3 linked regions of the Arabidopsis thaliana genome follow. The protein of the gene in region 2 interacts with the protein of the main gene of each other region in a pairwise test. Each region holds a gene or a part of one and is shown on either strand. Other genes may lie near its edges.

What was found.
Region 1: the proteins of TAP46 (region 2) and S6K2 come close enough for resonance energy transfer, tested with the Arabidopsis thaliana proteins (one study listed by BioGRID).
Region 3: the proteins of TAP46 (region 2) and PP2A-3 interact in a two-hybrid assay, tested with the Arabidopsis thaliana proteins (one study listed by BioGRID).

The regions. Positions count from the first base shown.
Region 1 is NC_003074.8:2,649,017-2,653,665, forward strand, and holds the start of S6K2 (serine/threonine protein kinase 2), read right to left. Parts: upstream 2,216-4,649; 5' UTR 1,706-2,215; intron 1,598-1,705; 5' UTR 1,392-1,597; coding exon 768-1,391; intron 685-767; coding exon 602-684; intron 515-601; coding exon 220-514; intron 123-219; coding exon 18-122; intron 1-17. Other genes in the region: PK1 (protein-serine kinase 1), read right to left, coding at 2,565-2,873, 3,001-3,105, 3,190-3,484, 3,574-3,656, 3,742-4,347. UniProt on the Arabidopsis thaliana protein: Downstream effector of TOR signaling pathway. May be involved in adaptation of plant to cold or high-salt conditions. Mediates the phosphorylation of MRFs (e.g. MRF1).
Region 2 is NC_003076.8:21,485,899-21,490,547, reverse strand, and holds the start of TAP46 (2A phosphatase associated protein of 46 kD), read left to right. Parts: upstream 1-2,505; 5' UTR 2,506-2,678; coding exon 2,679-2,774; intron 2,775-2,917; coding exon 2,918-3,040; intron 3,041-3,331; coding exon 3,332-3,418; intron 3,419-3,537; coding exon 3,538-3,642; intron 3,643-3,748; coding exon 3,749-3,910; intron 3,911-3,993; coding exon 3,994-4,029; intron 4,030-4,113; coding exon 4,114-4,185; intron 4,186-4,277; coding exon 4,278-4,558; intron 4,559-4,638; coding exon 4,639-4,649. Other genes in the region: AT5G53010 (calcium-transporting ATPase), read left to right, coding at 4-102, 248-385, 488-591, 796-841, 1,036-1,164, 1,243-1,344, 1,434-1,510, 1,598-1,649. UniProt on the Arabidopsis thaliana protein: Involved in the positive regulation of the TOR signaling pathway. Acts as a negative regulator of PP2A catalytic activity. Plays a positive role in the ABA-regulated inhibition of germination, probably throught its interaction with ABI5.
Region 3 is NC_003071.7:17,699,055-17,703,703, reverse strand, and holds the start of PP2A-3 (protein phosphatase 2A-3), read left to right. Parts: upstream 1-2,286; 5' UTR 2,287-2,477; coding exon 2,478-2,570; intron 2,571-3,179; coding exon 3,180-3,236; intron 3,237-3,367; coding exon 3,368-3,451; intron 3,452-3,506; coding exon of another isoform or gene 3,507-3,529; coding exon 3,530-3,601; intron 3,602-3,797; coding exon 3,798-3,869; intron 3,870-4,109; coding exon 4,110-4,150; intron 4,151-4,461; coding exon 4,462-4,528; coding exon of another isoform or gene 4,529-4,576; exon of another isoform or gene 4,577-4,633; coding exon of another isoform or gene 4,634-4,649. Other genes in the region: AT2G42510 (survival motor neuron interacting protein), read right to left, coding at 364-393, 761-2,018. UniProt on the Arabidopsis thaliana protein: Functions redundantly with PP2A4, and is involved in establishing auxin gradients, apical-basal axis of polarity and root and shoot apical meristem during embryogenesis.

The sequences.
Region 1 (4,649 bases), on a different chromosome or scaffold from region 2:
CATGTTTGTTTACTTACCCCTTTCAGCAAGGCATGAGCTTCATTAGACAGAAACTGTGGAAGCTTGATCTTGTCCTTAACGATTTTCTGCTGTATCTTTCCTTTGCTCCCGAGAAACGGCGGCTGCAGAAGGTAAAACAAATGGTGTCACAACACAGTTTCAATGATCACCTTAGACATTAGGCTACTATGGAACCAAAAAAAGAAGAAGACATTTTACCTTTCCAGTGAGCATCTCATACAGAAGGATTCCTACACTCCACCAGTCGGCAGCCTTATCATGTCCTTTTCCACGAACAATCTCAGGGGCCATATACTCCGTAGTCCCACACATGGAGTTTGATCTTGTGTTTTCTTCAAATTCTTTTGCTAAACCAAAATCAGTTAACATCACATGGCCATCTACGTCCATGAGTATGTTTTCAGGTTTAAGATCTCTATGCATTATGCCTTTCTCATGGAGATGGGAAACTGCAGAGACGATTTCTGCAGTGTACACACGAGCCAAGTCCTCCCTGTGAAAAACATAACATATGATTTAGTCAAGCCTCGCAGAATTCTGGTGAAACTCCAAAACTAGTTCAAAAGGAATAAAGCCAAACCTGAAAAGCCCTTGGTGATAGAGCTGGAAGAAAAGATGACCTCCGTTTATAAAGTCAAGAACAAGATACAATCTGTATTTGGTCTGCAAGAAGAATGTAAAACACTAAGTTAGGAAGTACTTGAGAAAAACCAATAGGATGCAAACAGAGAGAAGTTGGCTTTTACCTGAAAAGAGTATTTAAGTTGCACAATGAAAGGATGATCGATTTTGGTTAGAATATCGCGCTCGGCTTTCATGTATTCAGCATGATTCTTCTCAACAATTTTATCTTTTCTCATGACCTTCATCGCGTATATCTCAGACGTGTCTTTTTTCCTCACCTGGTACACTTTTCCAAATGCACCTTGTCCCACAACCTTCAATACCTCAAAGTCCTCAATGCCTACTACACCTGAGACCTCCTCTGGAGATTTCTCACTGTCAGTGTCATCATTACCAGAGAATTCATCGTTCTCTTTTATCGATTCACCTTCAACACACTCCACCAAGTCAACTGAGTCCTCAGTTTCTCGTAAAGTGAGCTTGTTCATCTTCAAAGAATGGCTAACAACCAAAGACGGGCCAACCAATGAGTGGGATCGACTGTAGACAACAGCAGGCTCGTCGTAAGCAACATCACAGGCCTCTTCAGAGTTAGCTTCAGGCATTGGTCCAAAGACATCAGAGAATTGAAGCTCAAGGTTATCACCCAAGACAGATTTTGGAGGGCTGATGGATAAAGATAGATGTTTCTGAAACGGCTTCCCAGTCTGGTTTTTGTTTGCAACAGAACACTGAGAAGAAACCATATTTCTAACCAATCGCCAAAAGAATCACAGAGGAAGCTTCACAAGTTCACCAGATGGATGAGGCTCTGCTACCAATAAAGTTAATGAGGAAGAAACTGGGAATAGGCAAACCAATATCTAGGACAAGAAGCTCTTCTTGTTTCCCTATTTTAAGGAAACAGTGGATGCTGCACAAGTGTCCCAATGCCATCAAAGTACTTTAAGCGCTGCAGTTCATAAAATTTCACAAAGATCAGATCACATAATTGACCAAATATAATAAGAGACGGATATGGAATTAAAATAAGCAAGCGAAAAGATTCTTTTTCAATTACCAAAGCTAAAGTCAACAGAATTGAGATTAAGAAAACACGACACCGACCGAATATCCTTTAGATGATCATCCCCTCCCAAATAAAACCCCAAAGCCTTAGAATTCCAAAATTTCACCAGGACACGAGGTCGAAAGAAACCCTCGAGGAAACGAACTCTAATATCTGTAATTAAGACCTAGTCTATATATTAGGGAAAAAGCTGGCGCATAACACAAGCAATTTTCAAACAAATCCAGATATAGAGTAAAACTATGACCTGGACCTAGAAGGTTTCGTGTCGTGTAAATAATTTATATCCAGAAAAAAAAAGAATCTAAACTCTGCGAGAGAAAAGTCAAAGAGAGACAGAGAGAGAGGAATTACCAGAGAATATGCTTGAGGAAGGAGACGAGAAGGAGACGAGACAACTTTAACAGGAAAGAGGGTAATGTGCCAAACCAAAAAAGGAAAAGGTTTTAAGAAGGCGCGTGGCTACATTTTTTATGTCTTCCGAAGCATCGTGGATCATGGGGTGAGGACACGTGTTCGTGTTCTATTGGGAAACCGAACTTCTTCTTTGTTTTAGTGGGCCGGAATTCTTTAAGCCCATTACATTACAAGACGTTCAGACGGACACTAGTTCGGTCCAAAGGCATCACCGTTATCATCTTTTATATTTACACGTTTTCAACGTTCTTTTATATTACATCGTGGGTCAAAAGGTCAAAGTGTTAGCTGCTCTACTTAATCTCAATCAATAACAATCTCATAAAATCAATTATAAATTAAGCGTCTTGGTAACCAAAGTTTTCTTTAATGTTCATGTGTCAGAAGGAAACAACAACCAAAGAAGTAGGAACTACATAAAAATATAGTAAATCTACAAAGTAGTTGTGGACTGGTGAAGGAATGAAGGAGGAGGCCTGACGTAAGTGAAATTGGTAAAAGGGTTGGCCTTAGGATCCGAACTGGGACTGCTCGCCGGAGAATCCAAAACAGACATGTCAGTCCAACACTTGTCAAAATTTGCTATGCATTGCCTTCCCGATACTTCCGGCTTGAAACTTGGCATCACTTCTCTAGCCTCCAGCTTCTTCCAGTTTATTCCCTTGAACCATTTGTGCTGTTTTATCTCCTCTGCTCCGCTCAGTCCACTTCCAAGTCGCCTTTCTGGCTCTTTTTGCAGCAGCTATACATTCATTACAAAGTCAAGAGTCAGAATTGTTCTAAATACAATGCTTCATAGTTCTTAACTGCACAAAGATTTTCATGTTTACTGTTGATTCTGTAATCAAACTGCACCAACATTTACTTACCCCTTTCAGTATTGCATGAGCTTCATTAGACAGAAACTGCGGAAGCTTGATCTTGTCCTTCACAATTTTCTGCTGTATCTTTCCTTTGCTCCCGAGAAACGGTGGCTGCAGAAGGAAAACAAGACATCACACAACAATATACCAAGACATGAGGCTTCAAGCAAATTAACAATAGATAGCGGCTTTTACCTTTCCTGTGAGCATCTCATACAGAAGAATCCCTACGCTCCACCAGTCAGCTGCTTTATCATGTCCTTTTCCTCGAACAATTTCAGGTGCCATATACTCCGTAGTTCCGCACATGGAGTTTGATCTTGTGTTTTCTTCAAATTCCTTTGCTAAACCAAAATCTGTTAGCATCACGTGGCCATCTGTATCCATGAGTATGTTTTCGGGTTTCAGATCTCTGTGCATTATGCCTTTCTCATGGAGATGGGAAACTGCAGAGACGATTTCTGCAGTGTACACTCGAGCCAAGTCCTCTCTGCGAAAGAGTAAAATATAGAACCAATTAAGCTTTACAAAATTCTAGCGAAACTTCAAAAATGGTTCGCAAAAAGGAATTAAACAAACCTGAAAAGCCCTTGGTGATAGAGTTGGAAGAAAAGATGACCTCCGTTTATAAAGTCGAGCACAAGATACAGCCTGTACTTGGTCTGCAAGGGAATGTATAACGCTCTAAGTTAAGAAATAGTAAAGTAAAATAAATAGGATGCTAACAGAGAGAAGTGTTATATATACCTGAAAAGAGTATTTAAGTTGAACAATGAATGGGTGATCAATTTTTGTAAGAATATCGCGCTCAGCTTTCATGTATTCAGCATGGTTCTTCTCCATAATGTGATCTTTCCTCATGACTTTCATAGCGTATATCTCAGAGGTCTCCTTTTTCCTCACCTGGTAGACTTTCCCAAACGCACCTTTCCCAACAACCTTCATAACCTCAAAATCATCTATGCCTACTACACCTGAGACTTTCACCAGATCTCCCTCTAAAGCTTTCTCATTGTCACTGTCGTCATTACCAGAGAAATCATCATTTTCTTTTAAAGATTCACCTTCGAGACACTCCACCAAGTCAATTGAGTCCTCAGTCTCTAGTAAGGTGAGCTTGGTCAGCTTCAAAGAATGACTATCGAGCGAACACGGGCCAACCAAGGAGTGGGATCGACTGTAGACAACAGCAGGCTCGTCGTAAGCAATATCATTGGCCTCTTCGGGGAGTGGACCAAACACATCAGAGAACTCAAGTTCAACATCATCTTTCAAGACAGAATTTGAAGGGCTGATGGATAGATATTGCTGTTTCTGGATTTTGTTGGGGACAGGACGCTGAGAGGAAACCATAATTTACACGGGAAAAATCGATACAGAATCACTGAGAAAGCTGCAAGAGTTCACCAGCCTGGAGAGAGATTCTGTACCGACAGAAGTTAATGAGGAGAAAACTGACTAAAACAAAGGCTGGCAAAAGGCAATCCAATAACAAGGAGAAGAAGCTCTTGTTGTTTCCCGATTTTAAGGAAACAGTGGATGCTGCAGAAGTGCGCAAATGCCATGAAGGTTTTATAAGCTCTGCAAGTACATGAAAAGTTCACACATTTAAAGGCTATCACATGAACAAATAAGATCTGAGATACAGGATTGAC
Region 2 (4,649 bases):
CAGGCTGATGTTAGCCTTGCAATGGGAGTTGGAGGGACCGCAGCAGCAAAAGAGAATTCCGATTTCATTATACTAGATGATAATTTTGCTACGATTGTCAAGGTTGGTTTATTATATGCATGGTTGAAATGGCGAACTTGGGCAGTAGCAGTTTATAGAATGCATACAAAAATGATGAGCAAACGTTGACCTTTTGGCAGTTTAAATCATTTTGATAAGATACTAGAGGCTTGTTTGGATAATGCAGTGTATCATATGGTCTCGATCTCTGTACAACAATGTCCAGAAATCTATCCTATTCCGCCTCACTGTCAGTGTATCAGCATTGGCTGTCTGTGTGGTTGAGGTTGTAGTTTATGATGCATTTCCCCTTAACGCCGTGCAGGTTCAAAATGTTATCCCTTTGTTACTTCATCATCTTGTTATCCAGCTTTTCCAAGATTGGAAACCTTTTCCCTAACCCAGTTTTTGCTTTTTCCTGATGCAGTTTCTGTTGGTTAATCTAATTATCGACATCTTAGGAGCATTAGCTTTGGCATACAGACCAAGATCTGATCACCACCTAATGGGAAAGCCACCGGTTGGTATAAGGTACAAATTCTGAATAGGATCAAGGATAAGATTTGATTATTAAGTCAATATAGAGTTGGCTTAGAAAGAGACATTAATGTATTGATGCTGAAGGTTTTGAAGAAACTGTTGGTTTTGCAATTCTTGTTAAAACACACTATCTGTTCTAGGTGAATATACACAAACTGATAGTACATATGCATGTGTACATTTTTTGTTTTTCAGAGATCCTCTTATAACCAAGACGATGTGGTCCAAGATGATAATTCAGGTATGTAGGGTAAAATCCTCGATTGATCATGTGTGGACGTTAATGTCAGATTAAGTATTTCACACCTTCATAGTTTCCAAGGAGCAAATACAATTCCTTGGTGATATTAAACTAATTAATTATTTAGATTAGAGACAAACACACTGGTTTGGAGACCTCTAATAATGCTTGTGTCATGAAATACCTTCCTCCAGGTATTTTACCTAGTGCTCTCGCTGGTACTCATAAATTCTGAGAAGCTACTGAAGCTGAAGCATGGTCAGACGGGCAATGCCGAAAAAATGATGAACACATTGATATTCAATTCCTTTGTCTTCTACCTGGTAATATCTGATTTTTTCCCACTCTTCTAATTAGAGTTCATATGTTGATCATCTCTCTATCTTTCTAAAATAACGCAGGTTTTTAATGAGTTTGAAATCCAAAGTGTAGACCAAACCTTCAAAGAAGTCCTTAGAGAGAATATGTTTCTCGTTACAATAACCTCAACTATCATATCTCAGGTAAGTCCTCTTTACAAGTGAACACAACATTTGTCTTTTCTTATATATCCCTAAACCATATATACTCTCTTTCTGTTCTTTCATATCAGATAATCGTGATCAAGTTCGCAGGCATTTTCATTGACTTGAAAAAATGGGTGACGACAAGTCTTTTGGGGTTACTCAGGTTCTGCTCATAAACATCCTCAACTACTTTCTTTAATTTTTTACTCTTCACATTTTTTCTCAATACGTAAATTTAACCTTTTTTCAGCCAAGTCGCCACTCGCTACCCTTACCCAGCCATCCAATATCATCGTAACTGAGATTTCTCTTGCCGTATGGCTCAATTCTCGTAAGAAGTAAGAACCATTCACTCCCAAAGTCTCCTAATGAATCGCATATGACTATCTTATTTTAGATCTGGCAAGTAGTTTCTCTCAACTTGCAGTTCTCATCTCAGGTCAACTTTTGAAGCATCCCTCTAGCTTTGGTCGCTTAGGAGGCTGTTGTTCTCTGCGCGGGTGTGCGTGAGAGATTAAATAATGCGGATTATTGTGCTGTGTATATAGCATACTACAGTTTATTCAGTCAATTCATTTTCCTCTTGAAGATATGTCGAGTGAAATGCGTGAAAGTCAAACATTTAAGTTCTGTATCCATTTCCCTTTCAAGCTATGTAGACTGTAATGGGTGACAGTCATATATAGTATATATAGTAAGCTCTGTTCAATCAATGCACCTCTTCGTTTTCGATTCATGAATTGTTTGTTGGATGTTCCTAAATCTTTGGATCCAGCTGATTCACCGCGATTGAGGTGGCTTTAGTTATCGGTATCCACCATTCCTTACTGCTATAGGTCGATCGAATCAATAACACTACGACAATTCGGGCTGCTTAGACAGCGGGTGCGATACTAGTTTATTCATACTCCTACTCGTACAAAAATCAAGAAAATTTCATCTCCATTCAAATTAAGAAAAAAAACAGTAAACATTCATATACCATAGCCACAATCACATTCGTGGCGGTTTTACACTACACCCGCCGCACCTGATCTTTGACTTGATATTTTTATACAACTGAGTCGGTTTTTGACTTTTGAGGTTGTGGACAGATCTAACGGCTAATAGAATTCGAGTTATCTACTTCACCTGACGCGGCAAAATCTCAACCGTCCCTTATAAAGCTCTTCGCGGTTAACATTTTCTCTCCTCTGTCTGTGTGTACTCGTGGTAAATTAGTCAGATTTCGATTTGGAACCCTAAAAAAATTCAAAAGACGATCCTCTTCTCGAAGAAACTCGATTCTTGTGGATTCGATTTCATTAAGGAATTTTGAATTGTTGCCTGTGATGGGTGGTTTGGCTATGGAGGAAATGCCTTTATCGGTGCTATTCGAGCAAGCTAGGAAAATTCATCTTGCTGCTTCAGAGTCTGGTGTTGATCAGGTGGAAGCTTCTACCTCTTTTTTATATACAGATTCGATTAGGGTGTTTATCTGAAATGGGTATTTCGAATCCGAATCGCGAGTTTTTACTGAATTGGACATTTCCGGGGATGCTTAGTTCATTCTTTTCCTTTGGTTTGTTAGGATGTTGTGAAGAAAGGATGTGAGATGTTTCAGAAGTGCGAAGATATGATCGGGAAGCTGGCGCTGTTTTCGTCTAACGAGACTAAAGAAGATATTAGCACCAACAATCTCAAATATCTTTTGGTATGCAATTGAGTCTCTGTTGTTTGGATTTTTGTAATTTGTTTGTATTCTAGTTTTGTTATTAGTTTTGGTGTGGAAAGATCTGAAAGTGAAAAACTTTAGCTTGTCCTGATGCTTCTAGTTTTAGCTACTGACTGAAATTCAAAATGGAGTCTGAGATTTTGGATTGTAACGTTTTCCATTGAACTTACTCTGTGTGGAGACCATAAGATTGTGTTGAGATCATAAGATTGTGTTGCGAGTTGACATTTCTATAAAGTGACGAGGGATTATATTGTCTTGTGATTATAGGTGCCTTATTATCTTGCGGAGTTGACAGAGAAAATCATACAGGAGGACCGGATTCAGATTGTCAAAGCCTCGTATGCTAAGTTGAAGGTTAGTTTTCTGCTGAGTGTTTACATGTTTTTGTATCCCTTTGATGCTATTGCAAGTGGGAATGAGCATTTGGTTGGATTTTTTTTGAGATTGATGTATAGTTTTGTTATTGTGTCTAGGAGTTCTTTTCGTTCTGTGAGGCAATGGAGCTTGTTCCGGATGAGGAGTTGGAGGCTTCTTCACGAGGAGGTTCTGGTGCACCTGCTGATCGAAGGGCTCTCAAGGTAGATTCAGCCCTGTTTCTTTTGTTTATGTTCTGACGAGAATGAAGTTTAAAGTTTTCGGATTTTGAAATGCGTGTTGTGTCTTCATGATTATGGTACTTTGTAGATAGCTCGGTTCAAACGTCAAAAGGCTGCAGAGGCAAAGCTTCTTGAAATTAAAGAGAGGAAGGAGCGACGTGGACGTTCCACTAAAGCATCAGCTTTGTCGACTCCGGTTGAATCTGGAGAAGATGATATTCCAGATGATGACAGCGAAGAAGAGAGAGAGGTTTGTCCCACTTTTTGTTTTGCTGCTTTCTCTAATTCGATTTTTTCTTCTAAGCTTTCTTGTCTTATTGCTTTCCTCTGCAGGCCTGGCTCTCCTCAATTAACTTGGCTATTTGTAAGGTTTGTCTAAAAATCATTTCATTAGAACCCTATGATTTGTCACAAGTTGAGGAGGCATTATCTTATGATTGAACTTCGTTACAGGCTATTGATCTGTTGGAAATGCTAAAGAGAGAAGAGGAAATGCTCTCTGCAATAAAGGAAAGACAGTTGAAGGTAGCTTACCGTGGTGTTAGTTTTTTTAGGTGCGAACAAAACTATTTGATAAACATATAAAAGAAGAAAACGTGTTATGATATTTTGATCAGGATGGAGAGGGTGGATTTTCTCGGGATGCTCTTGATGATCGTACAAAGAAAGCTGAAACCTGGCACAGAGACGCTGCTGCAAGGATACAGTACTCTAAACCGGCACAACCAATCACTTGTGCCACATTTGCACAAGATGTGTTAGAAGGAAGAGCTTCGGTATCACAAGGTCACGAACACAAGAACCAACCTCTTATATTCGGTCCAGCAAGCATCGTGGGTGGACCGCTCTCTACCGAGAGAGAAAGAATGATAGCTCAGGTCTTCCAACCAAGTCACAGGTAGACACAAAATATTGCTCATTACAAAATCTTAATCCTTTTTGAGATTTAAAAATGGTGATTAAACTTGGGTTTTGTAGGATGCCAACAA
Region 3 (4,649 bases), on a different chromosome or scaffold from region 2:
TCCTTGCCTAAATGTTCTCATGAAGAAACAAAAAGTCACATTTTCTTGGAATCTCAGTTTTGATTTCTATTGAAGAAACCAATAAAAACAAAGAAAAGAACTAAGCCCATCAAAAAGATTTAGCTTTCAAAGGTATTGATTTTTATTGAAGATGTATGAACATGTACAACTTTTTAGCCGATAAAATCATGGCCATACACACTTTGAACCAAACAAACTCTCTAGACCCCTTTAAACAATCTGAACTAAAGAATCTATATACAGAAAGAATGTATTGTTTCTTAGAAAAGGAAAAATTGGTGAACACAGGATTTATGAAACACAGGCTTCGACAGATTTCTTCAGGTCAATGTACAAAGAGACGGGTTCGTCTTGGTACAGCCGATATGGGACCTGTGGAAAAGAAAACAAACGGCCCCTATCAAAAAGATACTTAGGAACAACCACTGCTGAAAGAGTCGCAGACACTAAGCCCGACTGGATTTGTCACTTTGAGATGACCATTAGAGAAGGAAATCACCATAAAACCGTAGCAAAGAAAAAGCCATTTGAGTGACACACACAAACAAAAATGCAGCAGATATAGCTTAAGGTTATACATGAGCTAAGTAATCTTAACTTGGAGTGACATATTTCTATTAGACCTAAAAGTTTCCTCAACATGTTCAACTAAAAACAGGCAACACCACAAAATGCAGCAGCTAAGATAAAAGTAAAGTAAGTGGAGGGTTACCGAGGATACTCTTGTGATTCTTCAAACCTTCGTACTCAGTCACCAGCTCAGGTAGGAGTCTAGCATACAAGTCACTCCACAGTTTCTTCTGATTCGCAATGTGGGCATACCTCATCGACTCCATTTGGTTCCTAGAGTACATTATCCGCAACTGCTTCCCATTCATTTCTCCACTGTTACGAAAGTCAGAAACTTTGGTTGACGCATTCCTTTCAACAATGCTAGAAGCATTTCCCTTATCAATCGGTTTCTCTACTCCAACTTTCTTATGCTTTCTTGGTGCATCCTTATCAGTGTGTGCAGTTACTGGTCTCTTAGAATGATCTTTACCTTTCTTGTAGAAAGGAACAACATCAAACAACGCAGTATCATCAACCAAATCAATATTCACAGATCTTCCAACAAATGCATTATCCTTAACTCTCACTCTTTCCACCTTCTCACGCTGATCTTTAGACCCATTTCCATTCTTTTCGATCTTATGGATATCAGAAGCCCTAGCGAGCGTGTCCCCATCATTCTTCTTCTCAGTCTCCCAAAGTATTTGAACATCAGAATCTTGTCCCTTCTTCTGAGAGTTCAAAATTTCTTTCATATCAGAGATAGAACCGACGCAATCATCCTCTATCTTGTACACATCATCTCCAAATTGATCACTTTCTGTAGAAATCTCAGAGACTTCCTTAATCTGTTGCAGTTCCTTATTCTCTTCAAGAAACGTGGAACCATCTCCGATTTCAGCGAACAATATTATCTTCTCAGCCTCCACAATCCTCTGACCATCAGAATCTTGTCCCTTCTTCTCCGAGTTCAAACTTTCTTTCATATCAGAGATAGATACGACGAACCCATCAGTCTCAACAACATCCTTTATCTTGAGCACATCATCTCCAAGTCGATCGCCTTCTGTAGTAGAAATCTCAGAGCTTTCCTTAATCTCTTCACCAACCTTATTCTCTTCAAGAATCGTGGAACCATTTTCAGGTACAGAGACTACTACTACTCCAGGACACTCCACATTCATCGCCACGGTTTCTTCAAGAGTCGTTTCGGAGAAAGAAATGTCAATAGAATCCGAATGGATGATTTCTCCATCCTTCTCAAAAACAGAAGTAAAAGGCGAAGACTTTACTTGCTTCTTTGGGCTTATCATCTCTTCAACAGAGTCGTCGTTCTCAACCGGCGGCAAAGAAACGATCTTTAGCGAGTCTTCTGCAAATTCATCCCGAGAAATCGAAGTTTTCCCCGACCCAATACTTTCACCGGTATCAAATCTCGTCGCCATCACAGAGATAAAAAAGAGAGAGCGAGACTGTGAGACTAGAGAGAGAGAGCTTTATGAAGCGAAGGCAAAAGTCTCTCGAGACGATTATATAAGCTGAAACCGGTTCAGTTAAACCGTAGAAGTTAGTATTAAACCGGTGATGGCTATTGCACCAATTAAAGTAGAGGGGTATTATGGTAATAGCAAAAGAAAGAGCTCGAAAGATACAAACCACTCGCTTCTCTCCTCACGCGCCTTCTCAAAATTCGATCTTCTTTCACTGCACACAAAGCGAAGAGACAAAGAAGAGAGAGAGAGAGAGAGAGAGAGAGAGAGAGAGAGAGAGAGAGAAAGTGGGGGAAAAAAGGCGAAGAATACGCAGATTCCATCCAATTTAGGGTTAGGACTTCCCCTAATTTGGAAACCTAGTCCTGTTTCCTGATCTGTTTTCCGGATCGGACGAGAGACGAATTAACGAAAATGGGCGCGAATTCTATTCCGACGGACGCAACCATTGATCTTGATGAGCAGATCTCGCAGCTCATGCAGTGCAAGCCTCTCTCGGAGCAACAGGTGCCTACAACTTTCTCTTTAGACCTTAGCCCTTGACGTTTTCTCTACTTTGTTTTTATCGATGATTGGATCTGTTTTTTTTGTTTTTTTGAGTGGAGTGGTATTTTTTTCTGTGTTTGAGGTTTCTTTGGGTACGAGATTATCAGATTTGATTTGGAAAGTTTCGATTTTTTTTTTTTTTTCTAAATGAACATCTTCAGGAAATGTTATTAGATCTTGGCATGTATGTTCTCACGGAAGCTCATTTGTCACCGCAGTTCTATGGGTTGGAGAATTGGCTTTGCTTCTATGGTTTGATGTTAAATTTTGGCTGATTTGGATTCTTAGCATAGTGATTAATCACATCTAAGCTCGTGTTTTTATGTGCCTGGTAATGTCAATCGGGATTCTTATGGACTGATAAATTTTTAATATTTTCGTATCAATAGCTGATCAATACTTGTTGGTTTTTTTTTTTTCTTAATTGATGCTCCTGTTTGTTGCCTGTGTCAAGTTGATTTCTCTAAGTATATATTTCTATGTCATGTGTTTGATAGTGGTTATTAGCTGCATGTCTTGAGAGTGTTAAAGAGGTGAAAATCATATGCAGCATTGTTTTATTTTCCTTAGGTTAGAGCATTATGCGAGAAAGCCAAGGAGATCTTAATGGATGAAAGCAATGTTCAGGTTAGTTCCTGGTCTTGCATATCTCTTTGGTTGAGCAATTTCTTTCACCACACTTGGTGATTCTATTTTCAGTGTGGTAGATTGTGCTACTAGCCATGAATTTATTAGTTCTTTCTATTTCCTGCATGCAGCCTGTGAAAAGCCCTGTGACAATCTGCGGTGATATTCATGGACAGTTCCATGATCTTGCAGAGCTTTTCCGTATAGGGGGAATGGTAACATCTATAAAATATACAGAGCTCTACAAATAGCTCTACCAATCTTACAAAGTATTAATTTTCTCTTTTTTGCAGTGCCCTGATACCAATTACCTGTTTATGGGAGACTATGTGGACCGTGGTTATTATTCTGTTGAAACTGTTACGGTACGAAGATGAAATATTTAGACTTCCTTTTTTTATTCATTTAAGAGTAGGCTGATTGGCAAGCCAGTCATTGTCTTTTTATATTGGTAACAAGATACCATTAACTTGACGGATATTTTTTTCTTTACAATGTATATATTTTGGGTGTGACTATGAAGTATGCTGATACTGTTTCTCTTTCTTATTCTCTTTCCAGCTGTTAGTCGCCTTAAAGATGCGATATCCTCAGCGAATCACTATTCTTAGAGGAAACCATGAAAGTCGTCAGGTAGACTAATGCTTTATGATTTTATTACTCTGGTTCCACTTGTAAATTCACCTTCTGATGTTAAATACAGTACTTCATTGTGTATCCAGTCTTTTCCATCGTTGAGATCTTGGTTGACACACAATTTCCTTTTTTATAAGTCTCTGTTTTGTCTACAAAATTCGTTTTGTGCACATTTTTTTTATCATATTACTATTTTAATCTGACACAGGCTTTTCTTCTTTTTCTTCCATCTCGCAGATTACTCAGGTTTATGGATTTTATGATGAATGTCTACGAAAGTGAGTCTCCTGGAAAAAATCCTTATACTGGAAAAAAAATCCTTATTTTCTAATGCATTTAAACAATTTTTTTAATTATTATTAGCATTACTATTGTCCTTATATTTTTGCTGTTGCATTGTATGTGTGTATGGTAGCCTGTCCAAAATTGTCTTTTCTTTCTTTACTTCCTGTTTCTGTTAATCCTTTGGGCTTATGATTACTTGCTTATAGTATTGTTCTATGTTGTATAATCTTACACATCCTAGTTTGCAGCTTATTTGGGATATAGATTTTGCAATAAATTTAACAAACCATGTTTTCCTTTTTAGGTACGGCAACGCAAATGTTTGGAAAATCTTTACAGACCTCTTCGACTATTTTCCTCTGACAGCCTTGGTTAGTACCTATCATACATGTCTCACATTTTTCTTCCTTTTTTGTTAGTGGGGGTTCACATATAAGTCTATCCTCGTCCGGTAGTCAATTAATATAGATGATCAGTTCTTTGTCTTGTGCT